Linked DNA regions of Caenorhabditis elegans. The protein of the gene in region 3 interacts with the protein of the main gene of each other region in a pairwise test. Each region holds a gene or a part of one and is shown on either strand. Other genes may lie near its edges. The genes, in order: pas-1, vps-45, syx-16 and vps-52.

Region 1 (3,520 bases), on a different chromosome or scaffold from region 3:
TCTCTTCGCTTCTGCACAGCATATAGACCTGGAAAAAATTAGATTATTCTTGATAACTTAAATATGGATAGCATTGTTTAGAAACAAATGCAATTTATGTAATTAGTAATTAGCAATTAATTATAACAATGCAATTAGTTCTGTAACTCACATCAGCTTTCCTCAAATTAAGTTCCCGAACTGTCTCGAATCCAATTCCACAATTAGAACCGGTCACAACGGCTACTAATCCCTTTGCAGAGACTCTTTCATTGAATTGACCTCCTTTAAAGTAACGTCTGAAATATTTTAGATTATAGTTTTAGCTATCGTGAAATATCGATTACCTTGTGAAAAAGAGCACAATAAAAACTACGGATGAAGCGAGCACAAAAAAGAGGAATCCTCCATGTTCTTCAGCATCTGCACCATCCATTTTAATAGATGGTCTGTTAAAACTTTGAATGTATAATTTTTTTAACTTGCAGTTTTCTTCAATGAATTCGTACTAAAAAATAAATAACAGGGATTGCGAAACCACCATCAAAGTCAACATGAATAATATGAAGTGTTTCAAAAATCATTTTATCATGATTTTTAGTGATAAATAAATAGTTTCAAAAGAGAAAGGGGCGGAGGGCAATGATAAAAAAGACCGAGAAACAGGGAGTAAAGAAAACAATAAATAAATTTAGAAAAGGGAAACCAGGTATTTAATTCAATTTGGGTACCGGATCAATTGAAACGGGAAATATTTAAATACAAAGGTCGATGAATATTTAATCTCGGTTGGCGATTTGATTGAGATGATGTTCGACCTGATCGCTGGTTAGCTTGGTGAATTTGGAGTTATCCTTGGTGACAACGACAACCTCAAGATCCTTGGAACGAACGTCGATTCCCAATGAAGTCTGAAGAGCCTCAATGGCGAGTTCAATAGCTTCTGTGGATGTCAATTCGGACTTCTTCTTAATTTTCTTTTCCAAGAATGAGGTCGCTGGAAGTTGTTTCACTCCAACAGATACTCCTTTCATACCACGGTAGTATCCAGCGGGGTCAACACGATAAACTTCTGGTCCTTTCTCGTCATCGTAGGAAATGAACAAAAGAGCTGAAATTGAGTAATTGTAATAATTGAAGTTAGAGAATTCGGAAATTTTTCTACTAACCACATCCCAAACTACGCATCTCCGCATTTTGTGTGTAATACTGGTTGAGATCAGCCATCTTTTTGGCGAGAAGCTCGCATGGCATATCGTAGCCGTTCTTGTACTTCCAGCTAGCAGCTTCTCCCTGTGCACGCTTGATTTGGAATTTAGCATCCGGGATCATTCCAATGGCGCAGCATCCAACAGACTGAGAGATTTGATAAACCGAAGTGACGGTATCAGCGACGATGAGACTGTCTGGAACACGCTTTTGAACGGCAATGACAGCTGCATCAGCTCCCTTGACTGCGACAGCCGTCAGATTGGTAGAGTTGATTGCTTTGAAGGCATACTCGACCTGGAAGCAAGCATGGAAAGTTATAAACATTCAACTATTATTTTATAACCTGATAAACACGTCCTTCTGGAGAGAAGATGGTAATATGACGATCGAATCCGGCGCTGCTTCCACGAGACATCTAAACATAAATTTTAAAGTGGAAATCAACCATTAATTTGAAAACCGATAAAGATAGGAAATCTGGTTATTGACCAGTGTACCAATAAAATGAAAAAAAAAACGAATAAAAAGAAACTTAATGGAATATTCAGGAAACAAAAACAAAAATTCAACAATATATAACAACAGAAATAAAAATCTGATTTGAAAAATAAAGACTCGAAAGGTTATCAAGAATATTCGATATCCTTCTTCTTGCATTTCAGGCATGTATAGAATACTGTTTGTCCTTCATCTGCAGATCTCGTTTGCATAGTAGAATATGATGCCTTTGAGTGACCGCACCTTAAAGTTGGAAATTAGTTTCAGTCTTTCTCAGTTTCAAAATCCCCGGAAATATTCTTACTTTGTGCAAATATGATCAACAACAGCATCCGCTGACTCGTCATTTTCAATTCCATCTGTATCAGCAACCGTTCGTTCGTAGATCTTTTCGACACGGCTAACCACTTGATCTACTCTTTCTGAAAACATTTTAAAATTAGAATATATTCATCTTAAAAGCAGGAAACCTTTCACAGCCCATCGAGTTGAGCATACTTTGCAGGAGACCGTCGCTGGAGCCTGTGCCGGTAGTTCCAAGATGGCGCCGCAATATCCACAAAAGTCATCGTCGTATGAGAGGAAGTTCAAAGCCATTTTAAGCTGAATTAATGAAGTTTCGACTAAAATATATTGTTGAAGGTTGAAAAATGATGAGAACGCCGAAAAGATGACAAAATTTAAAGGGAGTGCGATGGAGCACGCTTGGAAATTGAGACACTACCGATTTGTGACTTTCGAAGAAACAGATTGCTGAGTAAATGGGAACAGCACTTTACTAGTTGAGAAAATATTAAGTCTTGACAGGCAAATTGTTAAATGATCTAAAATCACTTATCTTGGTTTGAAAGATGGCCGAGTTGCTGGATCTGGCAAAGAAAACTCCGCCTATTAATTTCATAGATTTGAAAATCGCGAATCAATGTTGGCTTTCTTACATTCAGAGAAAAAAAAAACATGCCAGAGAAAAATAATTGGGATTATATAAAACTCTGAACAAATTTAATAAAATAACCTATCCCAGGTAAATTCACAATCGAGAACTAAAACATCATTTCATGAAGAAAAGTAACATTTTCTACTTAACAGAACATTTATTTATTGAATGTTAAAATTTGATGAATAAAAAAGAAAGTAACAAAAAAAATAAACGAATCAAAATCAACAAATTTGAATAAAAAACAAGAACATAGATTATCCCTTTCTTGCTTTGGCCTTGTTGGCTCCCTTCTTTCCAGCACCACCAGTACCCTTCTTCTTGCCGTCGACCTTGTTTTTGAACCACTGTTGTCTGTGAATCTGACTCTTCTGTCTTGTTTGATCTTTAGCACCTTTCCTCTCCGATTTTTCCTTCTTCCTGAAATTAATTGAATTGAATAACGATAAAGGCCTAATTTTCTCACTACTCACTCTCTCAAAGGTCCAGCAACTGCAGCAGCCTTTTCTTCAACAATCTTTGCTTTCTTTGACTTCATTCGTTGAAGAATCTGGAGAGCACGTTCTTTCTCGCCAGAAACTGGAGCTTCGTTGGCTTCGAACTTTCTCTTCTTGCCAGTTTTCACGTTGGCCTTCTCTCCCTTCAATCCTTCCTGGAACTTTCCAGCGGAAGCTGTGGCAAGCTTTGCACGATCCACTGCGAAACGAACTTGTTGCTTTGATTTTTCCTTGGCATCGACTCCTACTCCGATCATCTTTTCTGTCGATGGACCGCTCTTGACTGTTGTCTTCATCTGACGAGCAAGATTCTTCATTCTCTGCATATCGTTCTTTGCAACTCTCTCCTTCTTCTTTTCGCGTCTCTCAGCAAAGAAATCCTTGTTCGGATCTTCTG
Region 2 (6,583 bases), on a different chromosome or scaffold from region 3:
GGAAAAGCCTGCGATTGGATAGCCAAAATTACGATAAAAACTACAGAGATAAGTTTGAAGTAGTAGTCCATTGTTCAAGTTGAAGTCAAGTGATAAATCACACTAAAAAGGTTTTTCGAAGGTGTTTCGCTTTAAGGTTTTGTTTCTCTTGACGAATGATATCAAGAATTTTTGTTGTCTTGGTCAGCCAGTCACGCACCACCTAACACTACAATTCACTGACAGTATAAACGAAACGGCGCCAGTTTGGTTAGCAAATTAGCGCATATATCTGTTATTCACTATTGGCAAAGGACACACACTATTTTTGGGTGTGTTTGGGTTTTCAAAACGACACGGTTTTGAAATGATAAATTCACGTATAGGAAATATTTTTGAAAAAGTGTTTCTTTGTAAATGCCTCTGGTAAATTCGGTTGATCAAAAAGCTTCCAAACATGCTTCAACTTACTCAAAAGCCAAGCGGTAGGCCTCTCCACGGCTTAACAGCGGCTGAGCCAATAGGGAGACCGTTAGTGGTGGCACTGTACACAGTACATATTCATTTTAAAAAAAGCAATTTCATAAAGAAGCTCAATATATCACAAGAAAAGATGACAATTCAATTAAATCAATAAATAGACTCTGCGAGAAGTTTTGAAACTTTTGAGATATTCAGTGAACAGCTCCCGTATTTTTGTCGACGTTGGCAAACTCTTCGAGGAATCTGTAAATTTAACTTATTTTCCATTCACTACAGAACCATAACAAATGCAATAGCCAATTGAAATTAGTATTATAGCATTAAGTATACCCATTAATCGAAAAACGACAGAATTACTGCTTAATGTCTGCCCGCTTAGCCAAAACATTTTTTACCGGGGACGTGGTTTCATTTTAAAGCCTGTATACTCACGATTTTGTATTTAGCATGCTACTCCCAGCTAGAACAACAGCAGGCCCTCCGTATCCTTGCATCCGCTTTTCATTCAAGCTTCTCACATAAGCCGCCTCCTCATATGTGGCTCCACCCACAATAAACACAATAATATTATCCATTCGGTCGCTGAAAATTGAGTAGCTTGAAGCATTATAGTAGATCTAGAACTTACCATTCATTGCTAAGAAGCGGGTAGTTGTCAAGCCTCCCACGCTGGCAAGACTCGATCATGTTCTTGAGATACGGCGAATGCTGGGTGTAAATGTTCTCAACTCCTTTGAGTCCTTTGATGAACCTGAAAATTATAGGTAGAATACCATGTACCTTTTGTAAATCTTGAGTCTTTCTTTAGTGCTACTAATGTTCAGTCAGTTTTGTCAAATTATTAGAGGTGTCAATAAATTTCTGGTCAAATGAATTAATATTTTTTGTTGCAAAACTCATTTGTAATTCTTTTATAAATAAAGCAGTTTTTAATCGCTAAATTTGCTTACTGTAGACAAAAATTAATTCGAAATTCTGATTTAGACAACTAGTAACGGATAAAATTGAACCAAATCAGAAATTGCTGAAGCCGCCAAATCAACCGAAACTAAGCCCAGATTTCAGCCCAAATATTTGATTACGCTGATTCACTGTTGCTCACCTCTTCGTAATGTCAATAGTCGATTCACCACCAAACAAATCGGCAGGTCTCCTTGAAAGTCCACCATATTTGAGCAGCGTCGACACCGTTTGATGGATTTTTGGATGCTGAAAAAGCATGAAATTTTTTTAAACCCAGAATACACCAGTTGCCTACCTGTGGTCTGAGTTGACTGATCAATGAGTTTAATTCGTTGCCGGGTGCGTTTTCGAAACGAAGAGCGTAGAGAAGCACAAGACGGATGATGTCCTGAAAATGGGTGTACTGATCGTGATAACTAAATTCAATTAAAAATATAATTATATACTTCTATGTATCATTTAACAAAATAAATTTTTTAAAAATATAGCACACACTTCAGTGTTGTGTGCCTTGAAAAAAAAAATTTGCGTATGCACTGACCAAACTTATGTTTGCACTGACTAAATGACCAGCTATTTTTCCTAGTTTGTTGAAGCTGTAGTATCTAATTTTAAAGTAGCTAATGAATTTACTTAAAATTATAGGATACAGGAAACAAAATCCTTTCCTGAGCACCACGTTGGCGAAAATATATACCGTATTTCATCTATTAGTCTTGCAGCCTCTATTAGTCTTGCACCCCTACGGACCAATTGAAAATTAGTTTTGCATGCAAGACTAATAAAGGAAATACGGTAATTGGTCATTTGCGATAACAAATCTCAGTATTTTCTCGTGTTTGTTTTGGCATTCAGAATCTAAAAATGTTCATTCCGGATTTTTTTGCGGTGTATGTTACTGTTACTCACCACTTCTCTGGTTTTCGTATTTTTCAGCAGTCCTCGAACAAGATTGATACATTTGCCATGATCCCCATCTGACACAATTGCCTGCTCTACCTGAAACCACTTTCTACGTTTTGACACGTTTTTTTAAACTGTATTACCTCTGAGACTCCTAATAAATTATGCTTCTGAACAAGATTACTAAGTTCGCCTACAAGGCTGACGTGTTTCGACACTGTTCCACTGATCTTCTTAAACTGTGGATAGTCTTCCACAAACTTTTTCATATCCTGAATCGACTCCAAATTCTTGTTAATATGCTTTTTCTCCTGAAACTCGCTGATCAACGTCTTGATATTTTGCCCGATTTCTCCAAAGTTGGCAGTAATATTTCTCGCAAAAAATTCATCGTGAAGCTCGCTGAGCACAATGTTCTGATCAGTACATGTGCATCTGTTATTTGTCAATGTGAGCATTTCATGGATCATCGCTTCATACGTCCATTGGTTGAGCAGAGGAGTCACCGCGTCCTGGGATCTTTCAATAATCAGAAGAGTGGTGTCAGCTCTAGAGTTTTCGAAAAGCCCGTTTTCCCGGCGAATGAATTGTGCTACATCATCGGCCACTTTTTTGCAACTCGGTGAAGACTTTTGGTATCTGAAAAAAAAACATTGTAAAAGTATGCAACAAAGTAGTGACAATTGCATACAGTTTTTCGCATGTAGCAGCTCCCAGATTACAATAAAAACAAAACTACAGCGTGTTATGTCTAACAATTACAAGCATTGCCAAAAATTTCTGATTGCAGCACACTTCTGCTCAAGCGATGTAGTGCCAATTTTCAGCTGCGCGATAGTTATGATATGTATGTATATGTGCAAATTAATTTATCATACAATCGTATTGTTGGGGTAAAGACTTCTTTTTGTTTAGAACAAGGAAATTGGGTACAAGACGAAAAACAAAAGCAGTCACGCAATTGGATACTACTTGTAGACCAAAGACAAAAACAAACGAATGAATTTTTTTTCTCAATCGTATATTTTAGGGATCAGTTTTAGAGAAATTGAATCAATCTTTAGAATTAAAAGCTGCGAACACTCTCTAAATTGAGATACCTTTATAAAAAAGCATGAACATGACTAATAAATAACCAAAATTTCAAAAAAAAGGTCAATGTCCGCAATCCTTTACCAATTTTCAAATTAGAAATTTCAAAACTCTCACCGAACAGCTGGAGCCTTTTTCAACTGCAACAATAGCGCAATAATTCCGCACTTGATCCTTTCAGCGGCTTCTTCTTTCAACGTGAATGATGAGTCGAAGATGTGTGTCAAGTTGAGAGTGAACAAGTCTTTACGAATAGGAACTCCATCTAGAAACACTTCTTGAACCTCACGCACCTGGAATTTGTTGAAAAATACACTATTGACATATCCTATAGCGTATTAGTATTGCTTAAAAGTTTTTTGCATCGTTAAGTTATTGTCGGAAAGCAATAAATCTTTTTCTGATTCTCATAATTTAATCACGCAGCTTGAAAATTAGTTCTGTCCATAATAAAAAGTACTACTTACAGTCTCATTTTTGTCTGCTTCAGCCAGCCGCTTCACATCATATTTGTTGATTGTGTTTGTAAAATCTGAAAAGCATATTCATTGAAAACTAGTATTTTTTCTGTAAACTCACAAAGATAGTACTGGCTGAATCTTGGCTCCTGGAGCTCTTTCACCAGTCGCTCAATATTTTTGGGTGTCGGCCGGACGAATACCACGCATTTCAAGTTTTTGATGTTTTCAGATGAGGTCTTGTTCTCAATTCTATCGAATATATAAACTTCTTTTTGCATCACCTCCGACTGCGCAAATGCGCATGACACTGTTGGAGTCTGGAAAAAAATTTAGCGTTGATTTTATTTGAAAACGTGTGAAAAAACTACTCATCATTTAAAATTGTATGTTTATATGATTTTTCATACTAATCTAAGCATTAACTTTATTAAAAATCTATAGCTGATATAAATTCATAATAAACATTTAGGCTATTGTGAATATACAATACGTTTTGCTCATTTTTGGATTTCCTCTATATTTTAAGTGTTTATTATATTTATTATTTATTATTTTGTTAGATTAAGTAATTCAAAAATAGACATAAATGTTACTGAAAAATTTGCAAAACGTGTTGTTAATTTACGTTTTAGTATAACTTTTTGACACAAGTTTTAATTATTTTTCCTAACCGAATAATTACATTTTTACACTTTCAAATCAACTCACTGTTTCCCCATCCATAAGTAGTAATTTCATCTGCGAGCCGGCAAGTTGGATCATGTCCTGTATCAATTTTCGGCTTGACTGCACGAGATCCATGGTTGATTAGTAGAAAGAGCTAGTGGCCAACGTGTATAAAAACATATGGTAAAAGAAAAGAAATGGAGAACTCTAGGCCGCGGCCGTCTCTGTCACCGCGTCGGGTGAGTGTCCAGTGCCAGCATCGATTTTGAGAGATGGCTAGGCTAGTGGAGACGTAGACGGAGGAAGGCTGTGGAGAGTGAGGAAAGATGGAAAAAGTGGAAAAGTGGAGCAGAAGTAGAGCAGGAGAATTTGCATTCTGTCGGAGAAAATCTGAAGAAAACTGAATCTTCTCCAATTTTTCATTATACTAACTTGGTCCTGAACAAAAGTCTATGAAATATGTATAAGAATTATTATCCGTATGCGTGATGTACTAGGACAACAATTATCATTTACTATATATAAAGCGCGTGTCCTTCTGTCCCTATGTAGTTTGATCTCCGATCAGAGCAACGAAATTTTGGGAAACCTTATGCTAAATGCGCAGCAGACATCGATCGAGGTCCGCGATAGACACCGTATATCTAATGTGTTTTCTCAAAAAAGTCGGGGGCCGCGCCGTAGGTGCGGTCCACGGCTGGTACTAAAATAATTAACTCGTATCAGAGCTTTTCAAAATTGTTCCCTGTACTTATGGTAGGGTTTTACCAAAGCTCCAGCTTAACGCAAACTTCACAGATTTATGACTATTCAATGCAAGGTGGCTGGTTCTAATTTGAAGGACATAACACAATTTTTCGTTCACATGAAACTGCAGCCAAATATTAATTTTACACTATTTTCAATTCGTGTTTGAAGTTTTTATTTGACAAAAAAAGAGTTTCATCTAGTCATATCTGCAACCATTAACTCTTTGCACATTTAAAAAATTAAATTAAAATCACAATAATAATAAAAAACCGGGATGTACTGAAAAACCTGATATTGTTCAAAAAGTGTAATAGTCCTAATAATACAAAAATAATACGTATAATTTGAAAACATTGCACAATCCATCAAAGCTCATGAATAATCATGGAAGATCATATTTCCCCATTGCGAGAGCAACTTTTCCACCATTCCGCGCGCATTTGGATCAGCAGACTCCATGAAAGCAGTATGTCCTCCGTGATTGGTGATAATACCGCAAACGTAGTCGCTCTCCATTATATCTAATGTAGGGATGCCTAAATAGGGGAAATGTATGAATAATTATTAAATTTGGTATTTTGTTTAAAAAATGTAATTAGAAAACTAGCTTTTCAATTACATATTTAATATATATTTCATAAAAATTCCACACGTTTTATAATTTTTTGCAACCCGCAATGTGTCGGTTGCTGTTATTACCGTAGAGCAAACACGTCTAATTATGAACTAGAGAAACGTAGCAAGCACTCATGTTTGTATATGAACATTAGTTTTCAAAGCTGTTCAAACCAAAACTTACATTCCACCGGGCTGAAATAATCATCAACAGAATTCAGTGTTACACATGGAATCTTGATTTTGTCTACCTGGAAATTGATTTTTCAAATTTTTACAAACCAAGTTTCAAATGTTACCTTTGTCGCCAAAGTAGCCTGTCTGTAATAGTCATCGCAACTCTTGAACCCATACATGGGAATCACAAAAGATCGATCAAACCCTCTAACCGTATTGCATCTGCACACTTCGTCAAAATCCACCATATCTTTGAATAGCTCGCGGTACCTGGAATTGTGGGAGCTACTTATGAACTCAGGGGTTTGGTTCATTAATAGCTTAGCAGGAAATACTAAAAATTTGGGCGTAAAGGAATTGCTTCAAATTAACGCGCAAAAACCAATCACTTAATGAGAAGCTTGCCAGCTCTTTGAGCACAGGGCCTGCTCATGTCTCCTCAAATTTTCTCAATGCCAATTTTTTATACCAACTACGTTTGTTGTTTAAAAGTC
Region 3 (4,015 bases):
GACAAATGGAATTTTGTGGGCCATTCGAAACACTTTAGGCCAATGCAGCATATATCCGGTATTAAAAAGCCATTATTTGCGCCCAAAAGAAAAAAATCGTGAAAGGAAAACACAACAACAACATTTTTCGAAATATCTCGCCCAAAAGCTCCGCGACGCGTGCTGCGGGCGGTCCGAAATGCGGCCTGGGTCTCGAAGCGACAAGTGTTACGGTAGTCAATTTCAAGGCTTTTGGCGGAAAGAGAAAGAAAAATTGGCTTTGGCGTTAATCAGTTGATTTTAAACGAATTTAGACGGAAGAAAATGACTAAATTATCAGAGGAATTCGAAGAGTAACATGATCCGAGTGAAAATGCGGCAACATAATGAATCCCTGCTCTAGAGTGATGTGCACGAGTTTTATATAGAGAACATTTTTAATTACAGATTAAGTAGTGGAAGAATTTTAAATTTGAATAAAACAAGGAAATATCTGCATTACGGAATCTAACCGGAATCTAAAATTAGAATTTCATTGATTGAACTAGAGAAATCAATAAAATACCCGGTTTATTCAAAAAATATAAATAAAACTACTGAAGTAAAAGAATTACAATTTAGTAACAATAATAAGAATCAGTACAAAAATAATGGCAACAGTGAGCATACAAATACAATGCATTTTTTTGTTTCCTTTTTGATATCGTTCCGCTTTGAAGACATCTTCAACTGCTTTCGACACACGAATCGAGGTCTGTTCAACATTATAGTCTATTCTGAAATTAAAATTTACTATAATTGACCTTAAAGCTTCGTTTTACCTATCAATGACGCTTCCTTGATCTACAATCATTTCTGATAAATCCTGGAAGAGTGTATTTAATTCTCTAATTGATGTGTTCACAGCCATCACTTCCTTTTCGCGCTCTCGAACTTCTCGATCGTTATTCATAAATTGTTGAAGCTGGGCCATTGATATTTCTGTAGATGGTGACACATCTAGCTCAGCCCAATTGGGAGCATCAATCAGTGGATCTGTTGTGATAAGGTAATTGTCCACGTTACGGGAACGATTCTGAAACAATTTTGATGTGCTGAATGAAACTTTTTCAAATCGCTTACCTGGATATCACTCAAATATTTCAGTTGTCTTCCTCTAAATTCATCGGTAATTTGGCTAAGTGTTAGGCTCAGGGTTGCAGCAGCATTTTCTCTTAACTTTCGCTGCATAGGTTTTTCTTTGTTATGACTTCCAGATATCATTCTGGAAAATTTTGAATTACCTAAGTCAAACCGAGTCTGTAAATAACAAACCTGATTAGCCTTTGACAATGTGTGAGCATTTGAGTGATTTGCTCCGTCGTCTGTTCCATTTGCTTCTCTTCTTTTTCGAATGCTTCATCTCCAAAATTAGGTCGCGAAATGTGTTTTCTCTGTGCCTCTCCAAGTTCATCTAGTCTTCTCTGAACTCTTTCAACTTCGAATTCTACTTGATCAGCAGTATGAATCCAAACTGGCTCTTCATCGGATTCTTGTCGCCCATCTTCAAGTTCCACTAAGGCCATTCGTTCTTCTGAAAAATACATTATTGCAGACTGCAATTCGCAGTACAGAATTTGATCATTTGAAAAGAAGAGATTTTAGAAAAACCTATTTAATAAAAGTCATTTAATGAATATTTGAACCAATTCAGAATACTCACCATCACCACGACTCCTCACAATTATATCTGTATCATCTTTATAAATTAATCGACTTTGATGAGCATTTGAACGTAAAAGCATAAAAACTTCTGTCAAATTTCTCGTTGTTCCGTAAATTTCATTTTTCTTTGCAGCATTTGCAGCAGCGGTAACAGAAGAGGAAGCCATCTGGAAAAAATCAATAAAATGCTAGAATAAAAACGTTGCAAATTTACTTCCAGAGTGACGTTATCCAGCGAACGACATCAATTTGGAGAGGAAAAAGGGGAATGTGCGATGGAGCGTGTTTACTTTGGAATTTTCTTGCATATCGGCTGCGATAAATGGAAAGAAAAAAAGTTGCCGGCGAGCGAAAGAATCATTCAACCCACATTTATTGTTTTATGAAAAGCCTGAACGCAAAATTTTGCGATTTCAGCTCCGAAAATACGACGCCCGGTCTCGACACGATAATATTTATTAAATGCGAAAAGGTGTGCGCCTTTAAAGGTTACTGTAGTTTGAAATTTTTCATACATAGTATTTCTCTCGAGTTGTTCAAATTCAAGTGTTTTCATATTATTTCGCTTTAGTTTTTAATAAAAAATTAAATTTTCTTCAAAACATTTAGAAAATTGATAATCAACACCAAAAGTTTAAATTTACAGTACTCTTCAAAGGTGCACACTTCTTTTATTTAACGAAAACTTGTCGTGCTGATTTTTGGCACCGAATTTTTGTGCAAAAATCGTAGATTGTAATTTTGAAAATAAATTTCTAAATTTAAAATATTAGCAACAGAAATGAAAAAATTAACAACTTTCTGAAAAACTCAGTCTGGAAAATAAAAACTAAAATATGTAGGCAAGTCGAAAATTTTGAAAACAATTTTTTTTTTCGATTCTCAAAACAGTGGAAAACAACATCCTTTGGCATTGATACATCAGACTTGACTGTTTTTAGCTTTTAATTGATAAAACACTCAAACGTATGCAACGTTTGGACCTGAAAAGCTCCCAATGACAAGATCAAAGTGAGAATGATTAGTGAATAGATATGCAGGTATGTATGAGATTGAAGCACCGATCAGACCAGGAAGCAAAGGAATAGTACTTTTAGAAGAATATTATAAGGTTTCAAATTTTATCTAAAGAATTTTTCATCTTCAATTCGTGCTCAATGACCGGTGCTAATGCTGTAAAGTCAAAAACCGCTATGGCCAATTCCGTTGGTGTAGCTCATGCTGATGTGTCCAGTGGCATTGTTCAGAAAGAAAATACGTTCGGCTGAAAACTGAAATAATTCGAAAAAAATAAATAGTAAGATTGTACACTGTGTTCGTAAAAAACAAGAACTTATTGCCAAGAAAAATTTTAGTTTTTGCAAGTCCAACGCACGTTTTTTCAGAATTTCTAAACTTTTCTTTTTCGCAAATTCTGCAAATAATCACAACACATTGTTTCTTTTCAGTGGAAATATTTTACAAAATTGGAAAAGAAAAAATTGCACTTTAAGTCTTGAAAGATGTGTGACTTTTTACATTTTATGGTGACTCAGATCAATCTTCATGCATTTCAGAATGTGAATTTACACATTCTACGAGCAGAAAAAACGGCATGCGCCTTTAAATTGTCGTATCACATTTTAAACAATAAAATTCAAAAAAGAACAAAAGTGTTTTAACGGAGGAATAATATATTTTATGATTGTGCACAAGAAAGTAGAATGCTTTACAATAATCGAACACTTTACATCGAGATGTGTGGAGGAGGCACACAAAGAAATAAATCATCTATTACGTGGACATTTAGTGATTGTATCACAATGAGAGACTTAGAAAACCAAGGTTACTGTATATTTACCCAAAAGTTCTTCAACAACGACCAATTATCAGATCGTTTTTTGAAAATTTTTTGTTGCAACATTGAAAATGCTCGAATTTCTGATCATAATTTTCAAACAGTAGTGTAAAAACGAAATTAGGGTTATTAGCCACACTGGTAAACAGTTGCTTACCAACATAAATAATTGTTTAGTTCACATGAGAGAATGATATGAAACAAAGTGAAATATATCAATCACAAAGACGACAAGTGACCCTTTAGCCGCAAAAAAGTTCGTCAGACAGCTGTTACATAACCGAATAAAATAGAAACATTTTTACAAATATCTTATATCGACAGATTGGCATCAAATATTTGAAAAATTAAATTACTAAGCGTTGTCCTTTAGTTTTCAAACTATTTTTATTGAAGAGTTAATAAAAAGTGTATTGAAATTAAAAAAGAAAAGAAAACACACACCGTAATACTGTAGTTGAAGGGTACTGTAGTTGAAAAGTTTTGCGCGCGGCA
Region 4 (5,262 bases), on a different chromosome or scaffold from region 3:
TCTGCAATTCACAGAAAATGGTTCTTCCTTCCACGTAGAATGTCAAATGAGAAGTATTCTGAGGCGGAGGACGAGAACCGCGGAACAAACGTTCTTGTGATTGGAAATGAAGAGTTGACTGATTTTGAGGTTGTGCGAGTAGGATCGGAGAATAACAAATCCAGAGGGTTTGCTGCTTTCCAATTTGTGCCAAACACTCATCACCAGCTCATCGTTGCCATCAAGTCGGAGGAAAAGGTAAGTAACAGGTTTTATCTACACAATTTTAAAAACAAAATCCGTTAATCTCAATGCTCGGTTTATAAAATTGTATTCCAGGATGGAAAACCAGTAGCAAGTTATGCAAGTGTTTTCGACATTCATGGTAATGTTATTCTTGACGAATATCTTCTTCATGGTCCATACAAATACGAAGGAATTGCATTTGCCTAATCACTTCAATTAATGTATTTTTGTCTCAATTCCCACCTTCCAGTCAGGTCCAAATCTGTGTTCTCGATATTATGTGATTTTTGTCAAATACTATGTAATGGTTATTTAAATAAAATAAATATATAAACATTTTATTCAACATTTTTTGCATGCATAAAGCTGCCAGTGGGTAAAAATATATATAAAAAAATACTCAAGTAAGTGGGAATCAATAAATTATTTAATTTACAAAGTCTACACGGGAAAATAAAATAACATTGGCAATATTTTTCTTAATATGCTGGTTTGAACCGTTTGATTTCGAGCATCACTTGATGAACGTTGACTAACTGGGAACACACGGGATTTTTAGCAAATACGTCATGGGACAGAATCTTTGTGAATCTATTGATATACTGAACGTACTTTGTGAAGATTGTCTGAAATCATCTAGTTAAAACTGAAATTCGGCTCTAGGAAATAAATTTTAACCTGTAAAATGGTGGTTCCCAGGCTGAAGTTAGTGAAAAGTTGTATGCATTCTGAATTAATACTGTCCACTGCAGGTCTCCACTTTGCATTGAAGTTTGCTACCACCGTTCCAACTTTGTCTGAAATTAAAATATTAGAGAATAGAAAATTATATATGACAACTTGCCATTATATCGAACTAAGAGTTGTGTATGACCTTGAACAATCAGAGATTCACACTCGTTGACAAATTTAATCATGTACCCAATATGTGGCTCTAGCATCTCTTCAACAAAATCATCAATACTTTTTTGTTCAAGCTCATGGACAATTGCATAAATCTTTGTATGCTTGCTTTCCTCGTTATCGATAATCGAAAGAATAAGATCGTAATTGTTAATCAGAAAGACGTGCTTATTTTTCTGAGTTTGCTGCATAGCTGACATTCGAGTCAATAGTTGTTCAATAGAGTCTTCACTGTTCTCCAAGACAGCTTCCATCTTTGCACCCATTTCCTTTCCACTTGCTTTTGCTATCATCAAATGTGCACTTGTCAGTTCGGCGTACCGTCGGACTATCTGTAACATCTGAATTTTTTTGATTATAAAAAACAATCAAAAACTTACGAAATGCGGTCTTGCATCAAGTGAACCGCTATGCATCAACTTCTTCAAATCAACAGATTTGACACTTTCGTAGTGTTGAGACATGACCAAATTGAGGCGGGTCCAAAGGAAGCTTGTGACAGTATTCCAATAATCGCTAACTTCTGGTACCTCTCTCTCGGCGAGCACTTCGGTAAACTTGTCACATAGACAAATGCACAGATGAAGACTGATGGCGTCCCAACTAAGGGCGATTTGCTCCTCGCAGCTTTTGAGCACAACTGACATTGCTCGAGCCATAGCCTGAAAGCAATTATAAGCTTTTTTCCGGTAGTGAAAAGGCAAACAACTATTGTAAATGTAACATTACTACGTAATAGATATTAGGTCTTTCCAGGTCCTCGTAACATACCTTGTTATGCAGTTCAATGGCTTCATCATTGCTGACAAGGAAAAAGTCGGTAATAAAGAGGTACTCATGGCTGTAGTGATCGACAAATGCCAGTTGAATAGAACGAAATAGTGCTTCAAATTGATACTGAAAATATAATTTAATTTGGTCCCTACCAGTTCTATTGTAAGGTATACCGATTGATGGTTCTGCGTAGCTGCGTGGGGAACAATCAAGGCTCCTAAAAAGTCGTCAGAGAGAATTTGATGTCGTTGCCCAATCGAAAAAACGGTTGCCTTATTCCGAACAACGTGTTGTTTCGACGAGAAAATTGCGCCTAATCCAGCGGGTTTTGCAAAATCAATACTTCCCAAAGCGTCTTCTTTGGTGGCCACGTCTTTCATCTTAAATAATTACTCTGGTGAATATACTTGAAAAATGTGTCTCAACCTACCGCAAGTTTGAACAGGCGTGTGGCGTATGCTTTGAAATACGTGAAGAACATCTTGCTGATGGTGTCAATGTACTCGTCTTGAAGTTCCTTGGCAGAGATCAAGTCATGGTGCAACAGGAATTCGTAGAAAAATCGGCATTTGAGAAGCTGGTGTTGAAAAACTTGGTAGTTGGACAGAGGTTTACGGAATTGGAACATTTTCTGAAGCAACCATTCCCTCACTTTTACAACCGCCTGAAAAAAAACATTTTTGAAATGTAAACTTTTGTAAAAAAAAAAACACCCAACCTTAAGCTTTAGTCCTTCCAAAATCGGCATAGTGTCGTTTACCGCTACCGCATCTCCATTTCCCCTTTGCAAAATTAAGGTTATTTTGTGGTGTAACTCGTGGAGCGCTTCCAAAAAACCCCTGTCATTTGCATCAGTGTCGTTGATAGTTTTCATCATCGTTTGAGAAACAGCAATATCGTCTACAAATTGGCTCAGCTCGACTCTAACTTTTTGCCGGTTTTCCAGTTCCTGAGAAGATTATAGTACGTTGAAATTGGAAAATTAATTTACTTGATGAATATGATGCGACTGTAGCTGCAAATTTTTCATATCCTGCCCAATTGATCCTAGATTGTCTTGAAAACTGTACAATGTTGCTTGCAAGCGCTAAAAAGTTTAATTAAATAGTCGACTGATTTATATATTGGCAATTTTTACAATATACTTACTTCAAAAACATTATCACAATGCACAAGTTGATTATGGAGTTGAGCCAACTGCTCAGAGTTATCAAGACACTGTTGAACAGAATAACGATGTGCCTCCGATAGCCGCGTGCTGACGTCGTCTGAATTATTGATTTTTCAAATGTTGACATTTAGAGACATACTTTTCGACTCGGTTAGTCCGTCACCAGAAGCAATTGCTTTTTTCACCAAATTCGGATCTGCTTTTCGCAATTGCGATAAACAAAATTCTAGCGACGATATTGTGAAACTACGGTCATTTGCCTCGGATTTTTGCAAGTTGACACGTGTTCGAGGCATTATTTGTGCTGAAATTGTTTCAATAAAAATTTTGATGAATAACTAACGTTAATAAATAAAAAATAGCGATAAACCAAAGAAAAAACAATTGGTAACACGTCGTTAAACGATGCTCCGCTTTTTACACCCCGCGCGGTGTTTAGAATAATGGTGTGCTTGTGTGCGAGGAAGGCGAGGAAAATGCTCGCCAAGGAGGTTATGCAGAACAATTGGAAAAATGAGAATGTGTGGATTTTTGAATTTTTATAGAGAATTTAATTTATCTATTTGGTATATTTTTGACAATTCGCTACGAGAAATCTAAAACACTATTAAATCTTCAAACCCCAACAATATTGAAATTTGGATTTTTGTTTAGTGAAAAAATAAGTGAAAATATGAATTTTTCTGATCAAAGACTTTCATAATAATTGGTGAAAACCTAGTTTTCAGCGCATTAGGCTCGAAATAAAAAATTTCTCAAAACTTTTTGAATCCTTCGATTCAAATATTTCCCGTTTTACAAAAAATTAGACAAATTTCTAAACTATATGGCTTCCTTCATTTTCTTGGAAAAATACACTTGAAAAATACAATGGAACGTGGAGAATCATATATATATTATTATTATGATGAGAAAAATGACTGAAAAAATTTGGAGCAAAATCGGAAGTCTTTCAGACAACCTCTCAAAGATATGCCTTGACAACCGATATGTGCAATTTGGAAGTGAATGAGGTGGAAATCGAGTATAAATATTAAGTGTTATACAGTTGAATAATACAGTTTAATAGTTAAAAAAAAATACTTCAAACAGGAAAGAGATTATCAATATGCTTCGAGTTGATCCTTGTTTTGTTTTTTGACGAAACTGTAGCTCATTTTGCGTTGCTTGGAATCAGAGTCGGCTTCCTGAGGAAGATGCGGTGGCTGGAACTGTATCCTGACGTTGAATGGATTGAAGGGCGGCATTCATCATTTCTTGAACTGGAAAGTTCTGAGATGTGCCTCCTGAACCAACCTTGCTGATTCCTCCGAGAATCTCCATTGGGAACGGGAAGATGATTGTGCTGGTTTTCTCGGAACTGAAATTTTATTTTGTTAGTTAAAAGTTGATAGTGCGCTTCCATTACCTGATAGCATTGAGTGTGTGCAGATATCGAAGCTGCATGGCTCCCTCGCTTTTTGAAATGATGGTGGCGGCTTCAGCAAGAGCGGCAGATGCTCTTAATTCTCCTTCGGCAGCGATAATCTGAAATTAATTGCAATCGAAATTAATAATTATTGGTCCCCCGCATTTTGCTATGCTCATCATGTCGGCTCACCTTTGCTCCAGCATCACGAGTAGCCTCGGCTTCAGCAGCCATAGCACGTTGCATTTGAGATGGAAGACGGACATCGCGAAGCTCGACACGTTCAACCTTGATTCCCCATGGCTCTGTAGCTTCATCGAGCGAGATTTTCATGTCGGCGGAGATTTTCTCACGGTCGGATAGAATTTCTGAAAGGGTATGGGTACCGAGAATTGTACGGAGGGTGGTTTGAGCCAAAAGTTTGGTAGAGTCGGTCGCATTGCCAACTCCGACGACCTAAAAATTCCAAATTAGATTGAACCGTACCAGCTGTTTAGTTTACCGAAGTGATTGGGTCAAACACCTTGAAGTAGACAACTGCGTCAACAGAAACGGTAACCGAATCGCGAGACAGAATCTGAAGAGAGAAAGATTATATCACAGTGAGCAGGTGTGTTGCGCAACATACCTCTTGTGAAGGGACATTGTACGATGCCACACGCAGATCGATATTCAAGAAAGTATCAATACAAGGTATGATGAAGAAGATTCCGGGACCTTTGACGTCAGGAACAAGACGTCCCAAACGGAAAACTACAGCACGTTGGTATTCCTGAACAAT

The links.
Region 1: the proteins of syx-16 (region 3) and pas-1 interact in a two-hybrid assay, tested with the Caenorhabditis elegans proteins (3 studies listed by BioGRID).
Region 2: the proteins of syx-16 (region 3) and vps-45 interact in a two-hybrid assay, tested with the Caenorhabditis elegans proteins (one study listed by BioGRID).
Region 4: the proteins of syx-16 (region 3) and vps-52 interact in a two-hybrid assay, tested with the Caenorhabditis elegans proteins (one study listed by BioGRID).

What each region holds. Positions count from the first base shown.
Region 1 is NC_003283.11:14,421,013-14,424,532, forward strand, and holds pas-1 (Proteasome subunit alpha type-6), read right to left. Parts: upstream 1,607-3,520; coding exon 1,535-1,606; intron 1,486-1,534; coding exon 1,149-1,485; intron 1,091-1,148; coding exon 759-1,090; 3' UTR 554-758; downstream 1-553. Other genes in the region: dhs-22 (DeHydrogenases, Short chain), read right to left, coding at 1-28, 152-278, 327-415; rpoa-12 (DNA-directed RNA polymerase subunit), read right to left, coding at 1,818-1,932, 1,994-2,111, 2,160-2,286; rrsr-1 (Ribosome biogenesis regulatory protein homolog), read right to left, coding at 2,884-3,046, 3,100-3,520. UniProt on the Caenorhabditis elegans protein: The proteasome is a multicatalytic proteinase complex which is characterized by its ability to cleave peptides with Arg, Phe, Tyr, Leu, and Glu adjacent to the leaving group at neutral or slightly basic pH.
Region 2 is NC_003284.9:970,071-976,653, forward strand, and holds vps-45 (Vacuolar protein sorting-associated protein 45), read right to left. Parts: upstream 4,779-6,583; 5' UTR 4,683-4,778; coding exon 4,590-4,682; intron 4,199-4,589; coding exon 4,000-4,198; intron 3,953-3,999; coding exon 3,888-3,952; intron 3,714-3,887; coding exon 3,538-3,713; intron 2,968-3,537; coding exon 2,472-2,967; intron 2,425-2,471; coding exon 2,335-2,424; intron 1,814-2,334; coding exon 1,721-1,813; intron 1,672-1,720; coding exon 1,565-1,671; intron 1,214-1,564; coding exon 1,091-1,213; intron 1,045-1,090; coding exon 895-1,044; intron 706-894; coding exon 654-705; 3' UTR 513-653; downstream 1-512. Other genes in the region: C44C1.6 (Neuropeptide-Like Protein), read right to left, coding at 1-71; Protein abhd-3.2, read right to left, coding at 5,670-5,833, 6,097-6,163, 6,212-6,359.
Region 3 is NC_003281.10:5,207,034-5,211,048, forward strand, and holds syx-16 (t-SNARE coiled-coil homology domain-containing protein), read right to left. Parts: upstream 2,077-4,015; 5' UTR 1,898-2,076; intron 1,851-1,897; coding exon 1,682-1,850; intron 1,553-1,681; coding exon 1,294-1,552; intron 1,244-1,293; coding exon 1,102-1,243; intron 1,055-1,101; coding exon 801-1,054; intron 756-800; coding exon 590-755; 3' UTR 534-589; downstream 1-533.
Region 4 is NC_003284.9:7,563,438-7,568,699, reverse strand, and holds vps-52 (Vacuolar protein sorting-associated protein 52 homolog), read right to left. Parts: upstream 3,378-5,262; 5' UTR 3,370-3,377; coding exon 3,213-3,369; intron 3,171-3,212; coding exon 3,052-3,170; intron 2,990-3,051; coding exon 2,894-2,989; intron 2,852-2,893; coding exon 2,621-2,851; intron 2,567-2,620; coding exon 2,333-2,566; intron 2,283-2,332; coding exon 2,076-2,282; intron 2,026-2,075; coding exon 1,900-2,025; intron 1,791-1,899; coding exon 1,509-1,790; intron 1,461-1,508; coding exon 1,070-1,460; intron 1,023-1,069; coding exon 904-1,022; intron 852-903; coding exon 705-851; 3' UTR 555-704; downstream 1-554. Other genes in the region: Apyrase apy-1, read left to right, coding at 1-237, 319-432; sto-1 (Stomatin-1), read right to left, coding at 4,247-4,433, 4,482-4,600, 4,674-4,937, 4,984-5,058, 5,110-5,262. UniProt on the Caenorhabditis elegans protein: Acts as a component of the GARP complex that is involved in retrograde transport from early and late endosomes to the trans-Golgi network (TGN). The GARP complex facilitates tethering as well as SNARE complex assembly at the Golgi.